Linked DNA regions of Tamandua tetradactyla. The protein of the gene in region 3 interacts with the protein of the main gene of each other region in a pairwise test. Links are inferred from orthologs where the notes say so. Each region holds a gene or a part of one and is shown on either strand. Other genes may lie near its edges.

Evidence for each region.
Region 1: the proteins of SDCBP2 (region 3) and LYAR interact in binary tests that used the Homo sapiens proteins (3 or more experiments, as listed by UniProt). The two-hybrid records come from large-scale screens. The link is inferred for Tamandua tetradactyla from reciprocal best matches to the Homo sapiens genes SDCBP2 and LYAR.
Region 2: the proteins of SDCBP2 (region 3) and NPM2 interact in binary tests that used the Homo sapiens proteins (3 or more experiments, as listed by UniProt). The two-hybrid records come from large-scale screens. The link is inferred for Tamandua tetradactyla from reciprocal best matches to the Homo sapiens genes SDCBP2 and NPM2.

Annotation. Positions count from the first base shown.
Region 1 is NC_135345.1:8,752,438-8,756,185, reverse strand, and holds the start of LYAR (cell growth-regulating nucleolar protein), read right to left. Parts: upstream 2,657-3,748; 5' UTR 2,480-2,656; intron 2,474-2,479; exon of another isoform or gene 548-2,473; intron 1-547. UniProt on the Homo sapiens protein: Plays a role in the maintenance of the appropriate processing of 47S/45S pre-rRNA to 32S/30S pre-rRNAs and their subsequent processing to produce 18S and 28S rRNAs. Also acts at the level of transcription regulation.
Region 2 is NC_135329.1:22,658,158-22,661,905, reverse strand, and holds the start of NPM2 (nucleoplasmin-2), read right to left. Parts: upstream 3,006-3,748; coding exon 2,960-3,005; intron 2,816-2,959; coding exon 2,730-2,815; intron 2,586-2,729; coding exon 2,475-2,585; intron 1-2,474. UniProt on the Homo sapiens protein: Core histones chaperone involved in chromatin reprogramming, specially during fertilization and early embryonic development. Probably involved in sperm DNA decondensation during fertilization.
Region 3 is NC_135327.1:23,222,960-23,226,707, forward strand, and holds the start of SDCBP2 (syntenin-2), read right to left. Parts: upstream 2,458-3,748; 5' UTR 2,346-2,457; coding exon 2,335-2,345; intron 1,089-2,334; exon of another isoform or gene 956-1,088; intron 1-955.

The DNA.
Region 1 (3,748 bases), on a different chromosome or scaffold from region 3:
ATTCAGCAATCATTTACTATGTGCTCAGTGTGCATCAGGTGCTATGCTTGGGTACCAGGCATCCAGATACACCCAAATGCCCCCACTCAGATTAGACCAGGTCCTCTGTACACCCTTCTGGATGACTATTCATTAGACTATTTGATTTCCTGAGCTCCCACAACTGAGAAGGAAATGAGGTGGGGCTGAAAAGAGATGTGCTCAGAGTGTTTCACATTTACAACCACAATTACACCCACCACATCCAAGACAGGTATGATCACACAACTACCACCAGTGAGAGAAAACCAAGGCTCAGAAAGTTTCGTTACCTGAAGTCAGAGAAAGTAGCAGAGGTGGCCTGTAATGCCAGGATACAACCCCAAGCCCCTGCTTCTTCATTTTTTTTTTCTTTTTTATTAGAGAAGTTATAAGTTCACAGAACTACTGCATAAAATAGTTTCCATATAGCGCCCTATTGTTAACACCTAGCATTCGTGTGATACATGTTACAATTCATGAAAATGCCTTTCTATAACTGTACTATTAACTATAGTCCATCACTTACAAAACGGCTCACTATGTTGCAACTGCCTGTCCATAATGACTTGTCATATCCTTGGCCATGTGCTTGGCTGTCACTCGGCTTGGGAACCTTCAGTTGCTCATCCAAAAAAAATCAAGGGCTCTAGAAGATGACCCTCCACTAAAAATTTTGAGGACCCTAAATCTTAATTCTAAAGACAACCACCCTGGGAAAGGAGGCCGACCATCCGTGTCACAGCTAAGGATGTAGGGTATTGGATAGCGATGCTGAACTAGTTGAGGGGCAGCAGCTAGCAAGAGGCTGGGAACTCAGGAAGGACTGTAGGCACTTTTATCCCCTCTCACCAAGATGGAGGCCACATTTGGGGCCAGGGAATCTGAGCTGGAGCCTGCATCTGCCAATTAAAACCCCAATGACCTTCAGCAACCTTAACTTCCCCAAATCTGATTCTTTTATCTGTAAAATGGGTCTAATATCTATTTTAGAGCACTATGTGGAGAGTTAAGTAAAATATCAGATGTGAAAGCTTCATCCTTATCCAACAATAGAAATGTTTCTCTGTGATTTATTTATCAATTTGCACATCAACACTATTGTACCCAGTCACCTCCCAAACCCATGCTCCTTTAAATAGGACCCTCAATCAACCTATCCAACTTTAAAAATTCACTCCAGAGGCAGTCTTATTCCTGTCTCCTCTGGCTCCTGACTCCACAGGCACCTACCAGACTGTTCCCTGTGAATATGACATTGGTTTGGTTCTGGTGATTGGGATTCACATTGATTTTTTTTTTTTTAATTTTTCTCCTTCCTCATTTTTGTATTGCTTAATTTTTTAATGAAAATAATTTTTAAAAAACATTATTTTTAAAACAGTCACACACACACAGACCCAAACTAGATCAGCACCCCTAAACAGGACACTTGGTCCTGTCAGCCAAGCAGTTCCCAGTCACCATCAACTCTGATCTTGAGTTCTCCCATCAGTGAGAAAAGGGCTCAAATCAATTACGCCAGCCCCAAGCCTCTTCCAAGGGTAAAATTCCACGACACCTAGAGCATGTGACTCATGGGAAGGTCAGACAAGTACACACTGTTACCACCCTGCCTAAACCCTAGCGTGTGCAGGTGAGGTCGGTCACAACGTGCACTCACACAGGACTTCCCCCTTGAACCATGCAAAGGACATTTATCTCCACATAACAGACGGGCAAACTGAGAAACAAAGTAATTAAGCCATGTGTCTCCACCTCCAAGTTCCAGCATCCTCCTCATTATATCACCTGCATTACTGGCATCCCGTCATCTCATATTATGTTATTACATGTTACTGTCATGTTATTCATAACCGTCTGGGGAAGTCTGTCATGTGCCCGGCACTGTGCTATACAGGTGGGGAAGACAGGCTTGCAACGGCACACCCCATCTCATTCCTCAGGGGTAGGCGCCGCAGAAAAATGCCTGACTCTTATATGCCTGTCACCCTCACAGGTGGTTAACGTGTCTGTGCCCATTTAACCCTCACCACGGTCCAGTGCGTTAGGTTCTGTACCGTTCCCTTTTGGCACATGAGGAAGGTAAAGTAATTTGGTCACACACACACAAAATGAATCCGGTCCTAAGCTCGTGCTCTAACCACAATGCCTGAGGCCTCCTCCTTGGGGACCGAGCTCCCCGAGACTCCGAAGAGCACCGCCCCCAACATGCAGCAAGCCCGAAGCCCGCCTTAAGCGGGATCCAGCTGCCCTGGGATGCCCAGGACTGAGGGGGTTCCCGGGACGCAGGACTTTCAGTTTTAAAACGGGGACTGAATAGGTCGCCCTAGGTCCAGGTCTCCTTCCACTTTTCCCCAGTCCGAATAAGATGTGAATGAATTTCCTTCTCCTTCCCAGGGTGGAAGCCAAAAGAGGGAATGCAGCCATCAGCCACACCGCCCGACCCTTCTTCACTCACTGCTCCTCTACTTCCTCCGTCGGGCCTGTGTGTCACCGCCCCTCACCTCTCAGCAGCCACCCGCCAACGATTTCAACCGGCCACGGAGAACACGTGCAATCGCTGCCGCCCGCCGCGCGCAGCCGTCACCGCCCTCCAGGGCTTCCCCGCGCAGAAATCGCGCTGGAGCCGGCCCGCGCGCCTGCGCACCACGGCCAAAATCCCTGCGGAAGTGACGCTACCGGAAGTCGGAGGGCGGTTCCGGCAGGTCAAGGGGGCGTTGTCGGGTGGTTCTGCTGCCGGCCAAGCCGGCGTTAAGGTGGTGGTGTCGGCAGGTGGAGAGGCTGCGGCGGGTCAGGGAGCGGCCTCCGGGGTAAGGTGGTCATAGGGCCTGGAGGCCGGCCTCCTAGAGGGCGCGCGGTCGGGTGGGAGAGGGAACCGTCAAGGAGGGGAGGCCGGGCATCCGAGGGTGGCCCCTGAATCCCGGCGGGGCTCTGCCCTGCCCCCACCCCCTTCTCCCGGGGCACTGCGAGGGTGAGTGGAGAGCTGTCCGCCTCCTGCGTGAGTTCACGAGTGACTGCCCTGTGCCAGACGGAGGGAAAGTTGAAGGAGACGCAAAAGACAGAACCTAGTCCGGGGAACCGGGCCTTCTCCCTCGTGCAGCCCCCTTGGCCTGAAACCCCACACTAGGTCTTTACCCGGCCTCCTCCTGCTCATTCCTCCAGACCGCTCAGCCGTCGCCTGCAGGAAGCCCATCTGACCCGCTCCCGCCCTCCGGCTACCCATTTCTGGATCCCTGTTTCCTTCTCTTACTGTAGTTGGGAGTAGTGCTTACAACAACAGAGTTCATAGTGTTGCGCAGTCTCTCATTACTGTGCAGGCTCTCTGTGCTCTGTTTCAGATCTGTAGAAGGGGGAATACCGGTACCTTAGGGGTGTTCATAAACCCATGCACAGGAAGTTCTCAGCACATGCTTGACTCTTAGTAAGTGCTCAGTAAAGGATAGTTGACGTTCTCAGAGCTCAGGGCAGGATCTGGCATATCGTGGGTGGCTACTAAGTGACTATTGTATGAATGAATGTTGAATAGGGTAGTTGAGTGGAGGTGTGAGACAGCATCCTGAAAAACATTCACTTTAGGGTGAGGGCATACCGGGATCAGCAAGATTTCACTGTAGAAGTGAGAGGTGTTGGGCCTGGAATAGAAGGACTCACTGGGATTTACAAGGAGGGAAATAATTCCCAGCAGAAGTGGGAGAATGGCAGAGGTTGAAAAGCAGGTGCTTGAGGT
Region 2 (3,748 bases), on a different chromosome or scaffold from region 3:
ATCAGGCAGTGTGGGGAAATTTTTAGAGGCGATGAAAATTTCCTCTACCTCTACTGTGGTGGTCGTTACACAATTACATACATTTGTCGAAACTCATTAAACTGCACACTTAACACTGGTGAACTTTATTGTATATAAATCACATCTAAATGAAACTGTTAAAAATATGGCCTCAAAGAACTAGAAAAATCTGAGTACACCTATAACCATTAGACAAATTACGACAGTTTAAAGACATACCAGCCCCACATAGTTCATTCATTTATTTACTCATTCATGACACGGAGTTCCTACAAGATGCAAGGCAGTATTAAATAAGTATTATGGATAATGCAGCAAACAAACAAACAAACAAACAAAATCCCTGATCTCTTGGAGCTTATATTCTGGTTGGCGAGAATGATTAAAAACAAATAAGAAACGGTGTTAGTTGTGGGCCCTGGCTGGGGAGGGAGAAGCGATTGTGGGTTGGGCCTCAGGAAAGGATGCTGTCTGAGGTTGCAGAGGACCTCTTGGACGAGATGCCATTTGAACAAAGACTGGATTGAAGCGGGAGAGCAGGCCAAGGGAATATGCATGGGGCACAGGAATTGGAAGGACCCTGAAGAGGGAGTGTTGGGAGTTTTCAGGGTACTGTCAAGGAAGCTAGTGTGGTTTAAACAGAGTTAGGGAGGAGAGAGGAGGAGAGGCTGAGGTCAGAGAAGTTGCTAAAGGCCAGAACATAAAGGGCTGGAGGCCACGGTAAGGAATTTGGATCTTATTCTAAGTAAAATGGGAAGCCAATGACCAAAGTGCTTTAGCAGAGAAGCAACAGAGACCTGATTGGTGTCTAAAAGGATCCTTCTGGCAGCTGTGTAGAGATTAGACCAGGAGTCAGCGAACTTTTGTGTAAGGGGCCAGACAGTAAGCATTTTAGGTTCATGAGCCATATATTCTCTGTCCAGACTATTCAACTCCGAAAGCCGCTATGAACACTGCATAAACAAACATGCATGCTGGGCTCCATTAAAACTTTGTTTACAAAAACAGACAATGGGCTGGCTTTATCCCTGCAGTTTTCCACCCTCTAGGACAGACTACAGAGGAACCAGGGTGAGGGCAGGCAGACGGTTGGGAGGCCCTGCAGTAGACTGGAGAAGGAGGCAATGGGGCCTGGAGCAGGGATAGCAGGGCAGGTGCTGGGAAGTGCAGGGTTCATCGTGAAGCAGGGCCTACAGGATTTGCTGGTGGATCGGGTTCAGATTCGGGGTTTGAGAGAAAGAGGTGATTGTCCTGACAAAGTGGAAGGACAGGCCTGCTATTTACTGAGGGGATCAGGCTTGGGGGAAAGATTTTAGATACAAATCAAGAATTTTGATTTAGTTATGTTAAGTCTGGGAACTACTAGGTATCTGTTAGACATATTGAGTATGTATATAGGACCCAGAGCTCTAGGAGTTGGGTGTAGAGATGGAGTTTTCAGAGTTCTCATTTTATAGATGGTCTTTAAAACACGGGGAGCATGAGGTCTCCTAGGAGTGTGCAGACAGGGAAGAAAATAGGCCTGAGAACTGTTTTACAGAGAGCTTCTCTGAAACCCTCAAGGGCAGGTGATCTTAATCTTATATACACTGCTCCAGAGAACAGGAGATGAAGGAAATTTATAGAGCAACCTCACTTATGAGTATATAAGTAAAAAAAAAAAAAAAAGGTCTACTAGCAGAGCAAACCTAGAGGTGTATAATATGATTAAGTAGTATTTAACTCAAGAATACAAAGATGGTTGAATATTGTTCTATTAATGTGTTTCACCACTTTAACAGATTAAATAAGGAAGGACCCACAGTCACATCAATAGAAAATCGTTTGAAAAAAACTGTAACCTCCAATCATGATTAAAAAGAAATAAAAAAACACATTAAAAAAACCAAACAAGCAAAAAAAAAAAAAAAAAAACTAGAGCCGGTCTGGATAGGGACTTCCTTAACCTGACTTGAATATGAAATATTTGGTAGATTTAGAAGCATTCCCTTTTAAAATCAGGAATGAGACTAGCACATCCACGATTATGACGTGTATCCAATATGATTTTGGACGTCCCAGCCAGTAGAGTAGGACAACAAATAAAAAGACACAAAAACTGCCATTATTCACAAACAACGGTCATGCATAAATTGAGAAAACCCAACATAAATTATTAGAATTAATAAGAGAATTTCTGGGTACACAATCAATATGCAAACCAGTGCTCCCGTCACCAGCACTAAGTGGCACAAAAACGTGACCTTGGAGGAGAGGTTCTCTAACTGGACTGGTCATGGGTGAGGCTGGACGGGGAGCTTCCTGGGTGCAGGCCCTCAGTCCCAGGCTGTACTGCCTCTCCAGCACGGCTGCGCCTGTCCCAGGGCCACACCGTACCCAGGGGGTGTGGCCAGAGCGAGGCCCCCGTGTGTGTGATGGGCAGAGGTTGTCCCAGGGCTGCAGGGCAGGCTCACCATGGGCAGGATGGACGCCTGGAGCGAGGCAATGGTGACCGGCGACTCCTTCGCTGGGGGCAGGACCTCCACGAGGTTCATCTCATTTTTGGCTTTCTCCCCCAGGCAGATCTGAGAGGGGTTGGCGCAGACAGGGGGACCTCATCACCCTGAGGGCAGGTGGGGGCAACCCCGTTTTCACTTGTTTGGACTGGACAATCCCACCTCCTCCTCTGAAGGAGGCTGGGTTTCTCACCTCGCCTGGGGGGCACCCACCGTACTAAGCATCAGCTTACAGTCCTGCTTTCCCGCCAGCTGGGGCTGGAAGGTCCAGGCTGGCTTCTCCTGATTGAGCTCGCAGCCTGGGAAGGAAGTGAGAGAGGGGCGTGGGGGCAGAGTGGTGCTCCCTCGCTCCCCTCACCTCTCAGGGTGACATAGCATCAGCACCTCCCCAGGTGCTGGCTCCTGCCCTGGATGGAAGGTGGGCAGCCTGAGGCCTAACTCACCCCAGAGCATGGTGGTTATTGCCTTTTCAAATCTGCTGCGGTTCATGATGTGGGATGGAGCTGGGGAGACTGGGGCAGCTGTGAAGACTGGGAGCCTGAAGGTAGGGAGAGGGTGCTGGACACGGTCAATTGGCTCACTAAATTCCTGGACCACAAGTACTATCCGACCCCCCACCCCCCGCCAGAGCAGCCCAGACCTGAGCTGGAGACACACACAACGGAAGCACGCATCGGGTGAATGAAGAGTTAGTTCGGCCCCAAGCTTGAAAGGCTTCTATGGGATTTCCTGGCTTCCCTTTTGGGGTATGGCCTTACCTACACCTTTGGGGAGAGCTCCCAGGGAGTGTGCAAGAAAGGTGGGGTCTGTGCCCATTTTGGTCCCAGTTACCCTGGGTGCTGGTCCGCTCTCAGCGCTTCTCAACCTTCCTGGCTTTACCCTGTGCTGCCGCTCAGGCCATCAGCTCCTGCTGGGAGCTCTCCCCCGCCAGAGCTCGCTCAGGCCAGCCTAGTCCCTGTGTCACCTGAGGCCAGGGCAGCCCACAGCAGGCTGCAAGGGAGCCTGGGACGGGGCAGGCTGGCAGGGTTCTAGGTGGCTTTAAAGAAGAGGCCCTTCTTTACTCTCTCCATTCTTCTGTTCTCCCCTCCTCTTTGGGCCCCAGAATCACCTGGAGGGCTTGTTAAAACACTGATTACTGGGCCCCACCCCCAGAGTTTCCGATTTGGTAGGTCTGGATGGGACCAAGAGAATTTGCATTTCTAACAAGCTTCCAGGTGAGGGTGATGCTGCTG
Region 3 (3,748 bases):
CAGATGCTGCTTCCTCTACCTGGAATACCACCTCCGGCCCTGGATAACTTCAATAATTCCCAAGCCCTAACCCAGAGGACCCTTCCTGCAGGAAGCCTGCACTGATGCCCACCTTCCCCTAAAACTACTCTGTACTTCCCCAGCAAGTCTTTACTCTTATTGATTAGTCTATGATACATTTGTCTCTTTACTTCTCCGTCCATCTACTTTGGGTTGGAAATCCCAAAACGACAGGAACTGGGTTTTCTCATTAGCTGTGGAACCTCTAGTGCCTAGCATGAAAATTATCTCAATATTGCCAGAAGCATTACATTCTGCCTGAACTTCCACTCTTTTCCTTGTAAAGTAAAACTGTGATGTCCTACGAACACCCAACTCCCTGGTATGGACACACAGACCAAAGATTACAAATGTGTTTCATCTGGTTCTTGCCAAAATATATATCTGAATTAGTGCCAATACTAAAAAATCTGTACATACACAAATCTTCATTTCTAGCCTGTACAATCAAAATATTTGGTCACGCAAGAGCAGGAGTTGTGCAAGGCAATACCCAGTAAGGGTGAGCAGCAGCCTGCTTTTCAGAAGGGGCTGCCCCAAATAGCCCCCTGGCCCTTTGCTGATTTGCATGGCCCGCTTGGCTCCTGGAGGCAGCCAGTTCCAGATCCTTGCTCTAGCTTGGCTGCTGAGGCAGAAATCACCACCATCCCAGGAGGACAGGGATTATTCTAGGGAGAGATTTCTGGGGGAAAGGACCCTCAGCCTGTGGCCTTCTCCACTGTGCACCCACTCTGAGAGCTCTTTATCTTAGCACAGTCCTCAGAAGTTACCATTTGCTGACAACATGCTCTGCCTCCAGATCATGGATGAATGACAGATGTGGAAATAAGAGGCCACCCCTGCCCTGCTTTTTCTAACATTTAAACAGCACTGCAGCTGTATTTTTAGTACTTGCCTTCTACCAGAGCAGAGAAGTAGAGACCCACTTCCCGGACATCAGTCCCAGGCTAGGGATACACAGCTCTGTTTCTTTGTCTGGATCCATTTGCTGCCACCACCTTCTCTGGGTCCCGACTTGGTGCTGGCCTCTGGGGGAGTCAGGAAGCAGGTATTTCCCTTTTAGCAGTTCACAATACAGTGGGAAATGGCTTCCTGCCAACGACTATCCCATGTTCGCATTCAATCATCGCTCATCTAATCATTCAAAACCTCTACTGGATGCCTACTGGGTGCCAGGCCATCTGGACGTGTCATAGTCTTAATGGTCCCTTTGCTTGACACACCGGCCTTCTCTGTGTGATGCTCAGTTCAAACACTACTTCTTTGTCTAGCTTTCCCAGGCCCTTCACCACCCTGCCAGTTGGCTGGGTCCTCTTGCGTGTTCCAACCCTGTCCTGACTGCCCTTATTGTCAAGCTACTTGTTGTACTGTATCACTAACATCTGCATATGCTTCTCAAGGACAAGGACTGTGTCCTGTTCACCACACTATACTTCTCCACCAAGACACAGTCTGCTGGCAAAAATTATCATTTGATTGAACAAATCAGTGATTATCCAGGGAAGAGCTCTGTTCTGAGGTGTCACAAGACAGGCGAAACACTGCTGGCATCCACGAGCAGGAATCTGGGCCTTTTGCAATGCTCAGCACAGTTCCCCACAACAAATTGTCCTCTGTCCTGCACAACTTTCAAAGGTCCTGCAAGAGCTTCATGTCAGCAAAAAGACCTAACACCTGTTTATATATAAATACAGTAAACTATTTCCCAGTTTTAATATATACTGTATTACTCAGGAATGCACATAACACGTTAGTTAAGGGAAGTACTACTTGGCCTTGTTCACCTTTCTGGAAAATGCCTGTTCACCCTGCTCACCAGTTGGGTCCACCGGCCCATGTCTGTATTCATAGCTTACACAGTGATTCCCGCTTGGTACAAATACACTTAGTATTTGATTCAAAATTCCAAATATGAAACGTTGACAATTTTTACGTGAACGCTGTCTTATATTAAGACCACACTTCCTCATTGTAAGTACAAGCATCTTTTGAAGTAACCCTGCCTGAGCCTTTACACAGAGAAATATTGTCTTCCGCTGCAAATTAGTTTATTTTCTCCTTTATACTAAAGACAGGATATTGCACTGACTTTCTCTCCAGGGTGAACCCTCGCCTCTGCCGCTATCTTCGGGCCACCCCGCCCCGTGCCACTATCGCCCGCTTTGCGACCCAACAACCAGCCACAAACTCCACACCGCTAGAGCGCCGGTGAGAGCCCAGAAATTCCGAAGGCCTGTCCTCCACCCCCGGCCTCGGTTTCTCCATCTGTCATACCGCTCAGCCATCCCCAAGTGAGCCCCATACCGACCCCTTCGCCGCTCTAACACCCGGGAACCCGAGGGAGCCGGCTGCAAGTAGCACCTCCCGGCACCATGGCTACGCCGCCTGCGCTGAGATCTCTCCAGACCTCGCGCGAGAGCAGCGCATCTAGGGCGCATGCGCCGCGGCGGGCGGCTCCCAGGGTGCCCCGCGGCGGCGGAGCAGAGAGTGGCGGGCGCTTCGCGGTGTGTTTTCTCGGCCGGGTGTGTTACAACCGCCCACCCGGCCTCACTCTTTCTCCAGGCGTCCGTGGCCAGCGGCGGCATCTACCAGAAGGGATCAGGTAAAGCAGTAGGGTAACGCAGGCTCGGACGCGCTCTGAGGTCCCTCTTTGCGGGATGGCAGGCGACACAGGTCAAATAGTGCCTTAAAGGCCCAGGTTTCACTTCGTCTCCCCACGGCCTTGGCCCCCTACGGCCATTTTATGGTTCCTGAAGGAAGGAGGGCGCGGTTGATCCGCCCCCTTCTGACAGATTAGATTCTGTACAAAGGCAGCTAGGGGAGGGGAGGAGGGCTGAGTCGACGCCTGCGCTCTCCTCTGCTTGTTGCTTTTTCTGAAAAGGAATCCCTCTCGCCCCCTACGTCACCGTCCCACCCACCCTTTTCCCCACCTTTTTCTTATCTGGCTTTGACTCTTGACTGATTGTTGAACTGAAGTTGCCTTGTTCTACTCCACGCAAATTCACTCTGGGAACCAACCCAGAAGTGACTAATTGGACCCCTGCTGCCGGGCAGACCACAGCGAAATCGGGCTCGCTGCCCATTATAAAGGACGTAGGCACTGAGTCAGGGGGGTACGGAGAAAGGCTAGGACTACCAAGAGGTCTCCTGCAGAAGGCAGGTGGCTCTGGCCAAACAGTGAAGGATGGAGGATTCCCATAGGTGGGAGTGGAGGGTGCTTGTACAGGGATAGGGAGACCCAGGTTGAAGAGTCCAGCTGTCTCCTGGAAACCACCTCCCCCAGGTCATCTAGACTGAACTCATTTTTCTTCCCCTCTGGATTCCACGGTGGCTCCACTAACCCCATCCCCTGGGCTGGGCCAGAAATCTGGAAATTATCCTCACGTCCTGCCTTTCCCTCTTGAAGCCATTTCCAGCTCTTGCCCTCAGAATAAATCTCTAACGTTAATTTGACTTTCAAAGCTCCTTGACCTGACTTCTGGTAATGTCACCAGTCTCAATTCCTCATTCTTCTACACTCATACCCTGCATTTCATTCATTCCACAATGCTTGCTCACCCTGCTCTTTCATGTCTTGATGCTTTTCCAGGTGCTCTTTCCTCTGTCTTGAATGCCATTTGTGCCTTCACCCTCCCCCTTGTACTCTTCTTCAGTTCGCTGCCTTTCCCAATGCCCCCAACACCCATCC